Linked DNA regions of Saccharomyces cerevisiae S288C. Changing the gene in region 3 together with the main gene of any one other region gives a genetic interaction. Each region holds a gene or a part of one and is shown on either strand. Other genes may lie near its edges.

The links. A genetic interaction does not mean that the proteins touch.
Region 1: mutations in YPR089W (region 3) and SLY41 together harm fitness more than expected from each alone (negative genetic interaction), as found in Saccharomyces cerevisiae (2 studies listed by BioGRID).
Region 2: mutations in YPR089W (region 3) and YLR126C together harm fitness more than expected from each alone (negative genetic interaction), as found in Saccharomyces cerevisiae (2 studies listed by BioGRID).

Annotation. Positions count from the first base shown.
Region 1 is NC_001147.6:891,509-895,851, forward strand, and holds SLY41 (Sly41p), read right to left. Parts: upstream 2,585-4,343; coding exon 1,223-2,584; downstream 1-1,222. Other genes in the region: U4/U6-U5 snRNP complex subunit SNU66, read right to left, coding at 3,116-4,343. UniProt on the Saccharomyces cerevisiae protein: Able to suppress the functional loss of YPT1. May form a channel. Protein SLY41 is not essential for cell viability. The SLY41 gene is a multicopy suppressor.
Region 2 is NC_001144.5:393,543-397,326, reverse strand, and holds YLR126C (putative amidotransferase), read left to right. Parts: upstream 1-1,806; coding exon 1,807-2,562; downstream 2,563-3,784. Other genes in the region: APC2 (anaphase promoting complex subunit 2), read left to right, coding at 1-1,569; YLR125W (uncharacterized protein), read right to left, coding at 3,433-3,784. UniProt on the Saccharomyces cerevisiae protein: May have a role in copper and iron homeostasis.
Region 3 is NC_001148.4:711,364-717,885, forward strand, and holds YPR089W (uncharacterized protein), read left to right. Parts: upstream 1-1,911; coding exon 1,912-4,578; downstream 4,579-6,522. Other genes in the region: RNA-binding signal recognition particle subunit SRP54, read right to left, coding at 40-1,665; NVJ2 (Nvj2p), read right to left, coding at 4,793-6,522.

The DNA of each region.
Region 1 (4,343 bases), on a different chromosome or scaffold from region 3:
TCTTAGTATGTTTTTACAGATATAACCTATCCTTCACTAACTTTGAAGAGAGAATTGCTATTTGAGAATTTCCAAACGTACATCAAGCAGTTTATATATCTAGTCCCCGTAACTACTGGGAGATCTAACCAAATAGCTTCTTTATTATATTCATTTCTCTGAGCAAAATAGATATTTTTGAAAAATTTTCCTCTAGTTTCTTTTCAGAGATGTCTCTCTATTATTAGCCTCATACAATACCGCCTAGGGCGATTCAGCAGAACAGTAATTATTCCGCTGTATTTCTTTTTCAGGTGCCTCAAACGTCTATAGAACAGCGCGCAGCAGGTTGAGAAAAATGTCAAAAATTCGATCCTTTCCTATCTTTTCTTTTTCGGACGCCAAAGCGCAGTATTCAACCGACGATGTTCGGGAAGCCACCCCCGAGATCATAATAACAGGTGCGTTGTGACTCTATTGTTAACACGAGGGAAAAGATGGAATAATTTTGGAGAAACACAATGTCGTTCTAGCGGGAAAAAAGGGCAAAACCAAAAAACACGGAGTCTGTCCAATATTAATTTGGTTAAAGCAGTTCGTATAACCAAACTTTATTGGCATTGTCCGTCGACTAGTCTATTTTTATTTCTCTCAACCTTTCGAGTACTTGGAAAAAGGAGTAGATCCGCTTTCAGCAATCGAAGCAATAGGCATTAGGGGTAGAGCAATCCTCAAAATCCTTGTGCCTCGACTGTGGGTTCTAGTATGATCGCTATTTTTTCTTATTCTTTCCTAGTTAAAGCAATAGTTGTTCGTTCTATAAGTTTTTCCGCGAGATCGTGGAAATACCTTAAAAAAGACGCGTGTATGGCTCCTGCATGCGAATCTTCTCTTTTGCTTTGTAATCGCATGTGAGATAATCAAGGGATTGTAGCCATTGTTTTCGAAAAATAATAAAATGACCGCACTTTATCCTCCACGGAGCGGAAGGCCATTCCCGTACGCATATTAATGTAAATGAGATAAATAACCAAATAAGTACCGCCACATCGGATTTTTAACCTTGATATGGTGCGGGGGTGGGGTAACAGTTTAGGATCTTGAAGTAATGCTAGCAACAGAGGTAGTAGCAGTAAATAAGATAAAAAAGACCTTCGAGGGTTTTTTTTTTGATTATATATTTGATATAGTACTAAGTGTCCTACCTTGAATGATGGTTTGTACTCAATAGTATTACTTCATATTATGCCTGACGTCCATCTTTTTTGGAAAGCCCCCATTTGTCATAACCGTACAATCCGGCAATTGTCAAGATAACACCAAACACCTGAAAAAAATTTAACTTTGTTTCCCAAAAGAGTGCCACGGATATAACAACAATCCTCTTCATGATGTTTGCTACCGAATAATTAATGGAAGATAGTAAACCGATCAACTGGAAAGCAAGCATTGCTTGGAAAAAATGGGCTATTCCATGAATCGCTACAAGGGCTACTGTTTCTAGCGTTAAATCGTTGATAACGCTACCGCCATGCATTAATTCGCCGGTTAAAAAAGGTAATAGGGTTAAAGAAAACCCAATGCAGGAGCAGTAGAACAATATGGTAATCTTATCCACTTGCAATGGAGAAAATCTTGTTTTGTCTAGACTCGGTTGCCCTTCCTTCGACGTGACGTCATCCGTAGAAGAAGACGGCAGTATTCCTACCTTCCTTCTGATGGTTAAAATATTCTTTGCAAAAATATTCTGTGCTACAAATATTATCATGGAAATAAAGGCAAAAAGCAACCCGATTAATGAAGATCCGCTTTTGTTATCTGAAGCCCTCTTACTGCCATGTGTTGACCAGCAAGTAGTCATAACGCCAAAAATTAAAAGTAACAAGGTATAATAAGTCATGGAATTGTAATAACGATGTTCGAAAAATTTATAGTAGCCAACTGTTATTATTGGGGATAATGCCTTCACGGAATGCACTAGTGATACTGGTATCATAGATACCGCCTTGTGCGATGTGATATGACCAATAAATTGGAATATTCCCATAGGGAAAGTGGTCATCAAAACCAGCTTTGAGGGAACTAAAAACTTGTGCAGGATAGAACTCCTGAAATTGCCATCGAGATATTCAGGAAGGATACCGTCAGGGAAACTATTGAGTGCCTTTGAAAACTTCGTATGCTTCAAACGAGGTAGTCGGAATAAATTTACGATGGAAGCAAATCCAACACATAGAACAGCACTAACAAGAAATTGCAATTCTGTGAGAGCTATGGGATGGTTGAAAGTTCTTAAAATGGCTTTAGATAGGTTACTTGAAATAGATGACGTGACGTACCATATAGAACAAATAATGGTTATTCTTAGGTCAACTTCAGGTAAGTACCCTTGTATATTACTAGGAAATAGTTGCGTGAATCTTTTTTTAAGGCTAGTAATATCATATCCAAAGACTTGATTACTGAATGTCTCCTTACTGTATTCTTTTTTTTGGTGTTGGAACCCCCCACGTGGTGGTTCTGGTATTTGATACAGTGATGGATCAAAGAGGTTTTTATGAACAGAATTACGTCGTTTGATCGCTGTACTTTGCGTTTGAATCATGTTAGGCCGGTATTGTTTCTCCTTTATAAAAACGAATGGCTCCTTATTAAACACTTTTATCGTCAATCCACTTACTCTCTAAATATCGTAAGCTTTGCATATATAAGCATATAATAAAAATAGTTGGTATATGCTGCACGTGTAGTCTAATGTTCTTTTCTTTTTTTTCTTTATTCTTTTTTCTCCTCTTTATGAATACAGATATTCAATTTTTTGAATATCTGATTGTTTTTATTTTCATTTCAATTTTTTTTTTTTTTCAATTTTTTTTATCCGATCGTTGCGCCAAGCTTCTATCGCTTAAAACAATGACACTTCGCTGTGAAATGACACAATGGCTTGAGATTCAGGCACAACGCAAAAGGTCTTTACAAATGTATATCACAGAATATTAATGTTTGAAAAGTACTTCCGAATTCAAGGCCACCACGTAGCCTTATACACCAAATACAATTATACACAGGTTTCAAACTTGAGAAAAACAAGATATTGAATATTAAAAGCTGGGGCTAGTAGAATTTGCTGATTAGGTTAATTGTCATCAAATTCAAACAAACTACCATTTTCAGGGGTATTTTTCCTTGCTTCAATTCTGGATTTCATTTTTGCTCTCTTTTTCTTGTTGCTTTTTGTACCATGAAATTTCTGTGACAGTTTTTTATATGCCTCCTTAGTAGTCAGTCGATTTCCCTTTTCGTCTCTGTAAACCAGTTTTATGTCAGGATCATAATGATCTTGTCTTTTTGAATGAGTATTTGCATTGGAAGAGTCACTAGATGTGAATTGTTCCAGTCCGTGTAGCTTATCTTTTGTATAAGTGCCAGTGCCCGTATGCTCTTTATTTCGGACATCCCTTCGAAGTGATTCACTATTATTAACATCCTTTCCTGGTTTCAAATCGACGTCTCCTGTGGTGAAAACACTCTTTTTCCGAAGATATCCTAGTGTTGATGCAAGACCAGAAAAAAAGTTCGGTGCATTTTCAGCATCTCCCTCGTAGTTTGGTTCATTATTAACTGCTTCAGTCAGTGTATTGTTTCCACTCCCTTCCTTAGTATGTCCATTGGTAACATCTCCGATATTTTTCTCTCCTTCACCATGCACTTTCACTTTATTCTCAGTAGCACTTCGTTCGGAGAGACTGGTATCCAAAGTATTTAAAAAAGTTACCTTTTCGTCGACGACAATACTGTTGGAAATTTCACGCATTTTCAAAATGCTTTCAGTGCGTCGCTTCTCTTCGTCTCTTGCCTTTTCAATTTCTCTAGCGAGGTCCTCTGGCCCTTTCAATTCATTGTTTGAGCTTGTTCTGGGATTTATTATGGTGACTGGCTGTTCTTCTTCCATCCAGGATAAACTTTCATCTTCATCTACTAACTTAACAATTTCCATCTTATCAGTAATTTTTGACTTCCTAGCTTTAGTAGATCTTGGGTCCTTGATCTTACGTTTTTTAATTTTTAAAGGTTTAAAGTCTCCACCATCTTCATCTGACATATTATTTGCGCTATCGAAATTCACTTTAACTTTTCCCGTTGGTGGTTTTGCTGATATAGTATTCGGTGCCTTCATAACACCCTGTTCTGCTCCGATGATTAGATGTGTAGTTGTAATTGAGTGTTTCTCTCCTTCTTCTTCTTCTTCAATATCTAAGCTAGATACATTTAAAATTTTTTTTTTTTGTCTTCTATCTTTATTCATTTGTCGTAATCGTAGTTTCTCTCTATCAGCGTTTTCCTCGGCAGCTTTCACATTCTCT
Region 2 (3,784 bases), on a different chromosome or scaffold from region 3:
AACCCCAGCGTAACTACGGTGGACGCTTTGTTGAGATATGTTAAAACTATCAAAGCATTTTTGGTCCTGGATCCAACAGGGAGATGCCTACATTCAATAACCACGTTTGTTAAACCTTACTTTCAGGAGCGGAAGCACTTAGTAAATGTATTGTTATACGCAATGTTGGACTTACCTGAAGAAGAACTAAAGGAGAAAATTAATTTCAATGTAGATATGAAGGCACTGCTCTCACTTGTAGACACTTTGCACGATTCTGATATCAATCAAGATACGAACATCACCAAAAGGGACAAGAATAAAAAAAGCCCCTTTCTATGGAACCTCAAGGTGAAAGGAAAGAGGGAATTGAACAAGGACCTACCAATAAGACACGCCATGCTATACGAACATATACTCAATTATTATATAGCTTGGGTACCAGAGCCTAATGACATGATTCCCGGTAACATCAAATCAAGTTATATTAAGACAAATTTGTTTGAGGTGCTTTTGGATCTATTTGAATCAAGAGAATTTTTCATATCAGAATTTCGAAATCTCTTAACCGACAGATTATTCACTTTGAAATTTTATACGTTGGATGAAAAATGGACCCGATGTTTGAAATTAATAAGAGAAAAAATAGTCAAATTCACAGAAACAAGTCATTCCAATTATATAACAAACGGTATATTAGGACTCCTAGAAACAACAGCCCCTGCAGCAGATGCAGACCAGTCGAATTTGAATAGCATTGATGTTATGCTTTGGGATATAAAATGTAGCGAGGAGCTCTGCCGTAAAATGCATGAAGTAGCCGGACTGGATCCCATAATATTTCCAAAATTTATCTCACTCCTCTACTGGAAGTACAACTGCGATACACAAGGTTCTAATGATCTTGCATTTCATTTACCAATAGATTTAGAAAGGGAGCTACAGAAGTATTCTGATATATACTCACAGCTGAAACCTGGGCGCAAGTTACAACTATGCAAAGATAAAGGAAAAGTAGAAATACAATTAGCTTTCAAAGATGGTAGGAAATTAGTGTTAGACGTTTCTTTAGAACAATGCAGCGTAATAAATCAGTTTGATTCTCCAAATGATGAGCCAATTTGTTTATCACTAGAGCAGCTTTCTGAGTCACTAAATATTGCTCCTCCCAGGCTAACTCATTTGTTAGATTTCTGGATTCAAAAAGGTGTGCTTTTAAAAGAAAATGGAACCTATTCCGTTATTGAACATAGCGAGATGGATTTTGATCAAGCACAAAAGACCGCCCCAATGGAGATTGAGAACAGTAACTATGAACTACATAACGATTCTGAGATAGAAAGAAAATATGAATTGACACTTCAAAGAAGTCTGCCATTCATCGAAGGAATGCTGACTAATTTAGGCGCAATGAAACTTCATAAGATCCATTCTTTTTTGAAAATTACCGTGCCAAAAGATTGGGGATATAACCGAATTACTCTTCAACAATTAGAGGGATATTTAAACACTCTGGCCGATGAGGGTAGGCTGAAGTACATTGCCAATGGTTCATATGAAATAGTGAAAAATGGGCATAAAAACTCATGATTGAGGTGCAGTTTTTTACACGACTGCCACGAACAATCTCTTTTTGTCGCAAAATGTCAACGCGCGCCAAAGTGGGAAGTGGCAGATGAGGTGTACAGAAGAAAAGACAGATAAGGTTTATAATTTCACATAGATAATTGAGAAAGTTTGAAATATATACCGCTATAGCTCTGAAAATTATGCATTAACATATATTAGAATTGAATTATATCAAAAAAATACTAAGAAAACATCATAATGACAGTAAAAAAAATAGCTATTCTTTATACAGATGAAGATAACGAATGGAGTAAACCATGGGGCAATTTTGTTGATATGGCTATCAAGCTATTAGAACAGACCAGGAAATTGGAATGTATCGCAGAAGATGTCGAATATGAAGTGTTCCACGTACAAAAAAACGTGTTCCCTCAATTGTCAGATCTTCAGAAAGATGAGTATTTAGGCATATACATCACTGGTTCAAAATATGATTCATTTGATAATGAAATTGAATGGATTATGAAATTAAGAAGTTTCTTAAATGAGATGCTAACTAGCAAGACTGAATATCCGCCCGTAGCTGGAATATGTTTTGGTCATCAAGTTATCGCGGCTGCTCTAGGAAGTTCAGTTGGACGGAATCCGAAAGGGTTTGAAGGTGGGGTTGTGTCACTAAAACTGAACTCTGTGGGTCAAAAGTTATTTGGTGCTCAAGAATTAAATCTTTCTGAAGTGCACAGTGACTGCGTGTTCGATGTCCCAGAGGGATACCAAAATTGGGCGTCAAGTGAAAAATGTCAAAACCAAGGATTTTACAGGCAAAACAGAGTGCTGACGTTTCAAGGACACCCTGAATTCAATAGTGATGTCGCTCAGAAGGGGCTTTTGAAGTCTCAAGACAAGCTTACCCTTGAAGAGTTTAATAGATACGAAAGACAGTGCCAGGAGCTGGATAACAATGGCATACAAGCTGCCAGGAATATTTGGAGGTTATTCTTGCAAAAAATATGAAACAGCTGCTTGGGTTATATAGTCGATAGAGGACGTATAGGAAAGATAGCTTATAAGGTTTTTTTTTTTTTCAATTTCAACTAGTGTTGCATGAAGGCCTCGCTACGTCATTTCCTTCATTTCCCAGAATTCTGCAGAAACTTTATCAAATCACTCCAATGATCAGTATCCGAAGGTTCGGCACTACATAGTTTCGTTTATTAAGTCCAATAAATAAGCTTTTTTGTATGCACTTTTTTTTCGCTCATGCATAATGGATATAGCTGACTGAATGTCAGTAGTAATATCTGCGAGAAAATATGACACTAATTCTTGAGGTTTGTTGATTTACGTAATATGGTCCTCGTATAGTTAGAACGTTGTTCTAAAGAGCTAATGGCAGTTTCACTGCAGCGACCAAACAGGCAAGTTACACTCTCTGAGAACTAAACTTCTTGAATTGATGTCTGACCACGTTGGCATTTCCCAGTAAATTCAATAGGCTCAAATTAGCGGAAGAAAGCAATTTGTTATCTTTAATTAACCCTCAAAGAAATAGATACATCAATAAATGTCAACAGAGGCTTGAACTTATTTCACAATTTGTTCTCTTGTCCCATGTCAGGTGTAAAACTGACGGAAAGAACAACGTAAGATAATTAAGGTAAAAACAAAAAAAGGAAAGAATCTAGGCCCACATCGCCTTAGATCCACAACATGCAGAAATAGTAGCATACTTCTCCATTCAAATAACCCATTGTTTGCCTGCTTGAAAAGGAATTTTTTTTTTTTACTTTTTAATAATCCTGCTGTTTTTAGTGGCGTTTTTGTTCTCAACACTTTCCCAAGAGTATTCTCCCACCTCGCAAAATTATGGAATTTTCTTCATAATCAACCATGCCAAGAGCTTCTATAAACACCGGTGTATTTTTCAAGCCAATCTTTCATCTGAGGTTCGTCCAATACATTCAGTGGTATGTCTTTGTCCCGCAAGACTGCAACTAACTCTCCAAAAGCCCTTGCAGATTCCTCTTCAGCTTCTTCTGGATCTTCTTCTGAACTTTCTTCTGAACATAAGCCTGAATTCTCTTTCTCACCTGAAGATGAACATCCTTCTTCAGAGGTAATCACCCCATCTGGCCATGCCGCTGTTTCATTCAATAGAGGATAGTTATCCTCTTTCGGGCTAGCGACATCACCATTTTTATCCTCAATTCTACTTTTCAAGGATTCTTGCGAAGTT
Region 3 (6,522 bases):
ACATATATATATATACTGTGTATATTCAAATGGTGGCCTTTAGCCCATACCGAATTGTTTTGCCATTTGTTGCATTTGTGGATCTTGCATCATTTTCATCATTTCGTTCATATCAGGCATTCCTCCGCCCATTCCTCCGCCCATTCCGCCACCAAACATGTTCATCATATTTTGCATTAGACCTGGATTTTGCTTCAGCTTTTGTTGTGCCTGCTGCATCATTTGTGGAGTCACTTTTGGCATACCAGGCATATTCGGCATACCAGGCATGTTTGGCATACCCGGCATGTTTGGCATGCCAGGCATCCTAGCATTGGCACCAGGGGCTCCTGGTTGTTGCTGGGTTGCGGTTTGTGCCATTCTTGCCATCATCTGCTGTTGCATCAATATCATTTCTACCTCGAACACAGAAGTACCTGAACCTTTAGCTACACGAACCATTCTTGTAGGCTCTTCAATGAACATTCTACCATCAGATTCTAGTTCTTCTTTAGTCATAGAATCCAAAACGTAAACCATTTTCTTCATCTTTTGAGAGGTTTCCTCCTCCCCTACTTGATTCATCATATTACTCATACCAGGAATCATCTGCGCTATATTTGATAATGGACCCATTTTCATTATTGTTTGCATCTGTTTCTTGAAATCTAGCAAGGTGAACTTACCCTTTTGGATGTTTTCCATTGTGGCTTTTGCATCTTCCTTGTTGGAAACGGTTTGTAATTGCTCAAAGAGACTCTCTATATCACCAATACCCAACAGTTTAGATATGAATGACTTAGGCGAGAACTTTTCCAAATCATGAATGTGCTCACCTGTACCAATAAAGATAATCGGAGTGTTTGTGGCTGCAACGGCCGAAATTGCCCCACCCCCTCTAGCGTGGCCGTCCATCTTGGTTAATATAATGGCACCAAAATCGGACGATTCTTTGAAAGCCTTGGATTGTTGCTCTGCAGCTTGACCAATGGAAGCATCTAAAACCATGATAGTTTGATTAGGCTTGATGACATTGGATATTTCAATCATTTCTTGGAACAACTCTTCTTCTTGATGATGCCTACCTGAAGTATCAACGATGATGATATCAAACTTCTCTTTCTTAAACTTGTTAATACCTTCTTCTGCAACTTTGGCAGGGTCAGTCTCCGTATATGACCCATAAAATGGAATTCTTGCTCTTATAGCGTTTTGTTTCAATTGGTCAAATGCACCAGCACGGAAAGTATCCGCACATACCAAACCCACTTTGAAACCTCTCTTCGAGTAGTAAACTGCTAACTTGGTACAGGAAGTAGTTTTACCTGAACCTTGCAGCCCAACAAACATGATGATGTTTGTCTTTCTCTTCTTGGGCACAAAGGCCTTCTCTTCACTACCTTCGCAGGTGACCAACTTACACAGTTCATCAAACACCGTTTTCTGAATAAGCTTCTTAGTTTGTGCGTTTGTTGTGGACTTCTCACTACGGTTCTCACTCAGCAGCTGTGACCTTATATTATTTCGTAACTTAGAAACCAGGGCAATATTCACATCCGATTCTAACAACGCAGTCACGATGCCCTTTAACATTACATCTACGGATGTAGTAAAGTCATCCTGTGTATTGGAAATCGCGTTATTCACAGCAGAATTAATCCGCTTCCCCAAATCAGCCAAAACCATCCTTTAGTTAGACTCGATGCTGTGTTTTCTTTCCCTTCTCTTCTGCATCCTTGCTGTTCAACCACTTTTCATTATCTTGTTTTACCACTATTTTTTTTCACTTTGTTGATGTCTTTATCGTTAGCGGTGATTTTTCGATATTGAGATGAACGAAAAGACCATCATACTATAACAATATGGGTAGTGACTGAAGTATAGGAGAGCCGCAATTGCCGGTCTACAGAACTCACAAGGCATTCGTGAACAATGAACAGTGTTTGGGATGATGCTAGAATAGAGGACAGAACGGTGGACAAACCAGTAGGCTCCTCTCACGCTCAGGAGAAACTCGCGCTGGTAAAATCAACTTTGTTTAAACTTGACCAAGAAGATAGACCAGAATGCGATTCCTGGGTACAACTAGTCAAATTGATCTGCGACGAAGACCGTGAAGAAGAATTTACTACATTCAAGGAGTTATTAAGGGAAGTCAAAAACGTTAATGATAAATCCGTCACAGGCGTTGCCTTGATTCATTATATCATTGTATTTGATCGTGCAGACTACATTGAGTTACTACATGATAATCCTTCTGGTGCAAAATTAGATTTGAATCTTGTCGACGACATTGTAGGTTACACACCTTTGATGTGGAGTTTCAGTCTGCAGAGAAGGAACTGTTGCTTGGAGCTGTTCAACGCATTCGACGAGATAAACTTCAACATGACGAATAAGGCTGGATTAACCGCTTGGGATATGGTTCCTCCATATTCACCACTTTCGGAATTTTTGGAACAAAACAATATGTTTCGATACCGTACCGAAGTAAAACATGAAATACCTCAAATTTCCCAACCGAAAGACACCTCTCTTCTAATGAGTAATGAAGACTCTACCACGAAAGAAACTTTTGATAATATTGACTTACAAGTCGCCGGTTTGACCCTGTCCCCTGGTGCAAATGACAACATGTTTCTGGATTCTGATGAAAAGAACATGAATCATTCTCAGGGAGCTGCAACCCTAATAGATCCCACATATACAGAAGACTACCACGGTACATTTGATTATGATAAACTATCTCCGGACCAATACTTGGAATTTTCCGACTTTGATATACCACAAATCCTGAATCTATTGATATCGCTACCACAAAAGGAACCTCACATGACCACCTATCCAGCTGGTTTAATATACCAATGTATTAGATATGCTGATCATAAGATAAAGTCCAAGCCACTAGTAGAATCGTTAATTAACTTATCTCTAACAAAAATTCTGACCAGTGTTTCATCCAACGGAGCTGCAGGATTGGTCTCCACAGAAGCTTCTTTGCAAGCAGGTGACATTGTATTGCAATCGTATTGGTTAAGTTGTTTATCTTTTCTCTATTACTACCTCTGTAGAGATGATTCATTTTTCAAGAGGCATCCAAGCGTGTTACAAGAGCTGATTAACACCATCCACTCTATTATCATAGAACTGACATCTTCCATTCATTGCAGGTTGATTTCTTTGATAGATTCAACTTTACTAGCATACACAACAATCCAGGACGTTAAACAAACTTTATACAAAAGAGACTGGAACTTTTTTAAAAAGAGAAAGCAGGCCAAGCTTTTATTGAAGGAAAAGAACAGAAAACAATTAAAGGAACAACAAAAGAAAGAACTTCATCGAAAAAGCCAGGGTCAAGAAAATCATGAAGAAGAGGAGGGTCAACAAGATGGGAATGATTCAGATGATAGGGCATCAACAAATGATGATAACAATTCTAGTGTTTCACTCTTTTATGATAAAGAAATTTTGAGACATTTATATCCTCCATCATTCGAAGAGCAGATGAAACCCTCTCCACTAAAGATTGTTCAAATATTTGGTGCCTTGTCTTACGTTCTTAATTTACATCAAACGCATCCGATTTTCCAACAACAGTGTCTCTCTATTTCAGTTAACTGGTTTGCCACGACCTTATTCAATAAGATCTTAAAGGACAAAAAGAAAAGATCTTTATCAAGAGCCCATGCTATTCAAATCAGGTTAAATCTTTCAACTCTAGAATCATGGATACAGAACAACGATTTCTGTGTTCCTAAACCGATGCTTATTGATGACTTCATGTGGCAGCGCTTTCCAATGACTTTAATTCGCGACGTTGGCGAGATAGATTTATCGGATCCGATACTAAGAAATGTAGCAACTTACAAACCTATAGATGAAAATAACAAGGACTTGATATATGATACGTCAAACTCATTATTTTACTACCAACCTTTCCATAAGATCGCCCAAATTCATCTTGAGCCAGTTTTCCAACTATTACAATGGTTGCAAGTAGCTACAACACTAGATAGTGAAGAATCATTAATATCAACAATGAATTTATTACCAAGAATTACACCAGTACAGCTCCTAAAGTCTATGGAAAAATACAATTACGAATTGAATGAAAATAAATTCAACTCCAAACTGAAGAAATTTTTAAACAACAAAATCAAAGATAGTAAGATGAGCAAGGCAGACGCGTATTTACAAGAACATGAAATACCGTATCTAGTTTTACCAACTATACCCGAAATGACAGACTTGTATTCAAAGGGTCCTGATTCACATTCTTTCCAACCGTTTTTACCAGGCAGTATCCAAGACGATGTTTATGAAATTCACGATGTCAACTTCAAACAAAGACAAAATGAACCACAGATATCTCGGACTAACTCGGGTACCTCAGATTTTACTGGAGATGAGGATAAGGCGCAATATGAAACTGAAGGGGTAGGGGAAAGTATAGATATTAACGAAACAGTCGAACCCGAGAGCAACGCGTTCAATGTAGGTAATGATGATTATTTTAAAGAATTAAATATTCCGTCTTCAACTGCTCAACGTCCTGCTTGGTCGAATAATGATGATATGGAACAAAATCCGTGGTAATTTGTGCGTTAGAACAGTGAACTTTTGTATCGAACTTTATATAATAATTCTACGGATGTATCCATCTTATTTCTTTTCAAAAGAATGGAAGAATAGAAATGTAAATAATGAGTTAAAAGGGGCAGTTGCTTGATATTTTGACACGAATTTAGTTACAACATTTTGCATATAGCTTCAAGTGATATTTATTTATTTTTAATATAGTACCGTGGACTCACAGTTTGGGCTCTCGCTGTTCTTCAAATTCTAAATCTTGCTTGAAAAAGCCGTCATTAAAACGATTCTGAGAGGTCTTCTTAACAAAAGCTTGAGAGCTTTCAAGTTTTGAAGCTTTCACATGGGGATCACCATTTTTGAGCGAATTCTGAGAATCATTTGAGGATACAGAAAACTTTCTATTTTCTTTGTTCGCAAACATCTTTGAAGCATTCATATTTGAAGCCGACGGTGGAACTGGAAAATTCTCAGTGTCTTTTTCCTTCCTGCCTTCTAGTTTTGGAGATAGTGTATTTAACGGTTGTGAAGGCCTTCTTGGTACTGGTCTCCTATTAGAAATCATTTTTGGATTGGATGTAAGGATAGGATTATCTGATTCTCTCTCATCTGCTGAATCGTCATTTTTCTTATCTTGAACATCTATTTCATCCATATCTTCGGTGTCACTCGAATTACCAACATTATCCTTATACCATCTACCGATTTTCTTGATTGAATTCTTGAAGTATTTCCTTGACTTGGTAGAATTTTCAGAACTGGAAACATCATCATTAGTCGCGGTTGTGACTGTTGTCTGGGTTGTAGTTTTCGTTGCCACTCCAGATGCGTCAACAAGATCTTTTAGGTTTTCTTTCTTTCTCTCTGGCCTTAAGGCTTTTTTGATTCGACTCTGGGTTTTCATTCCGCCCTCTTGAAGTGCTTCTAAGTGTTCCTTAGCACTAGTATTATTCATATCTGAGGCTGCCGCAGCAGTGCGAGCCCTCGCCGCTGCCTCAGGATCCTGCTCCTCCCAAATACCACCTCTGTATACTTCATTAGGTGTTGGATAAAAAACAATATCATCCATAAACGGTACAACTAGGGACTCCTTCACGGCTTCGGCAAACTTACTCTTTATAGCGTTAGTAACGACGTTGTATGATAATTTACTTGAACTGACAATGGGCTCAATTTCAAAATCCATTATAGGTTCGGTGCGAAAAGCATACCAAATTCTGTTAGATGGAGGTGGTTTGATTAAAAATAAAAGTGGACCGGAAAATTCTTTAATTTTTATGGACAACTGCAAAGAAACCTCCCTTTGTTTGAAACGTGATCCCAAGTTAATACTCGCCTTTGTCGCAATAATAATTGTCAAGTTTCCCCTGTATTGAACGTCGATAGCAATCTTAGTCGAACCCTCAGGAGACAATTCTAATAACTCAGGAGAGGTGAATAATGGAGCACTATCACCCACGTCGACCTTTTCAACAACCAAATCATCCAAGAACCCTGGGGTTTTTATTTTATTCAATTTCTTGCAGATTTTCTCATGAATAAACTTATTCAACGTATCAGTTTGTTGCAGAGAAAGAAATAATCTCCCAAGAAGAGCATTCAGCCACTTAGTAGTTAACTGATTTTCAGTAGAGTTGATATCCTGAATCAATTGTAACATATCCTTAGTCTTCAAATGAGCTGCGTTAGCTGAAACATTAGGATCCAATAAACCAGTTGAGAGGGAATTACTGTTTTTAGAGGCATTGATCAACTGATAATACCAATCTTCTTTGTCCATGTTATTATCGAAATACAAGAAGAACTGATTTGAGCTATGGAATTGTGATTGATATTCATGTGTAGTGTCATTGGTAGAGATGTCACCGTTATTCGATTCAGCACTGGTAAGTGGGTCGAAGTGTGGCAGGATAACATTATGGTTTTTAGAGTCTATAGAAACGAGGTCAT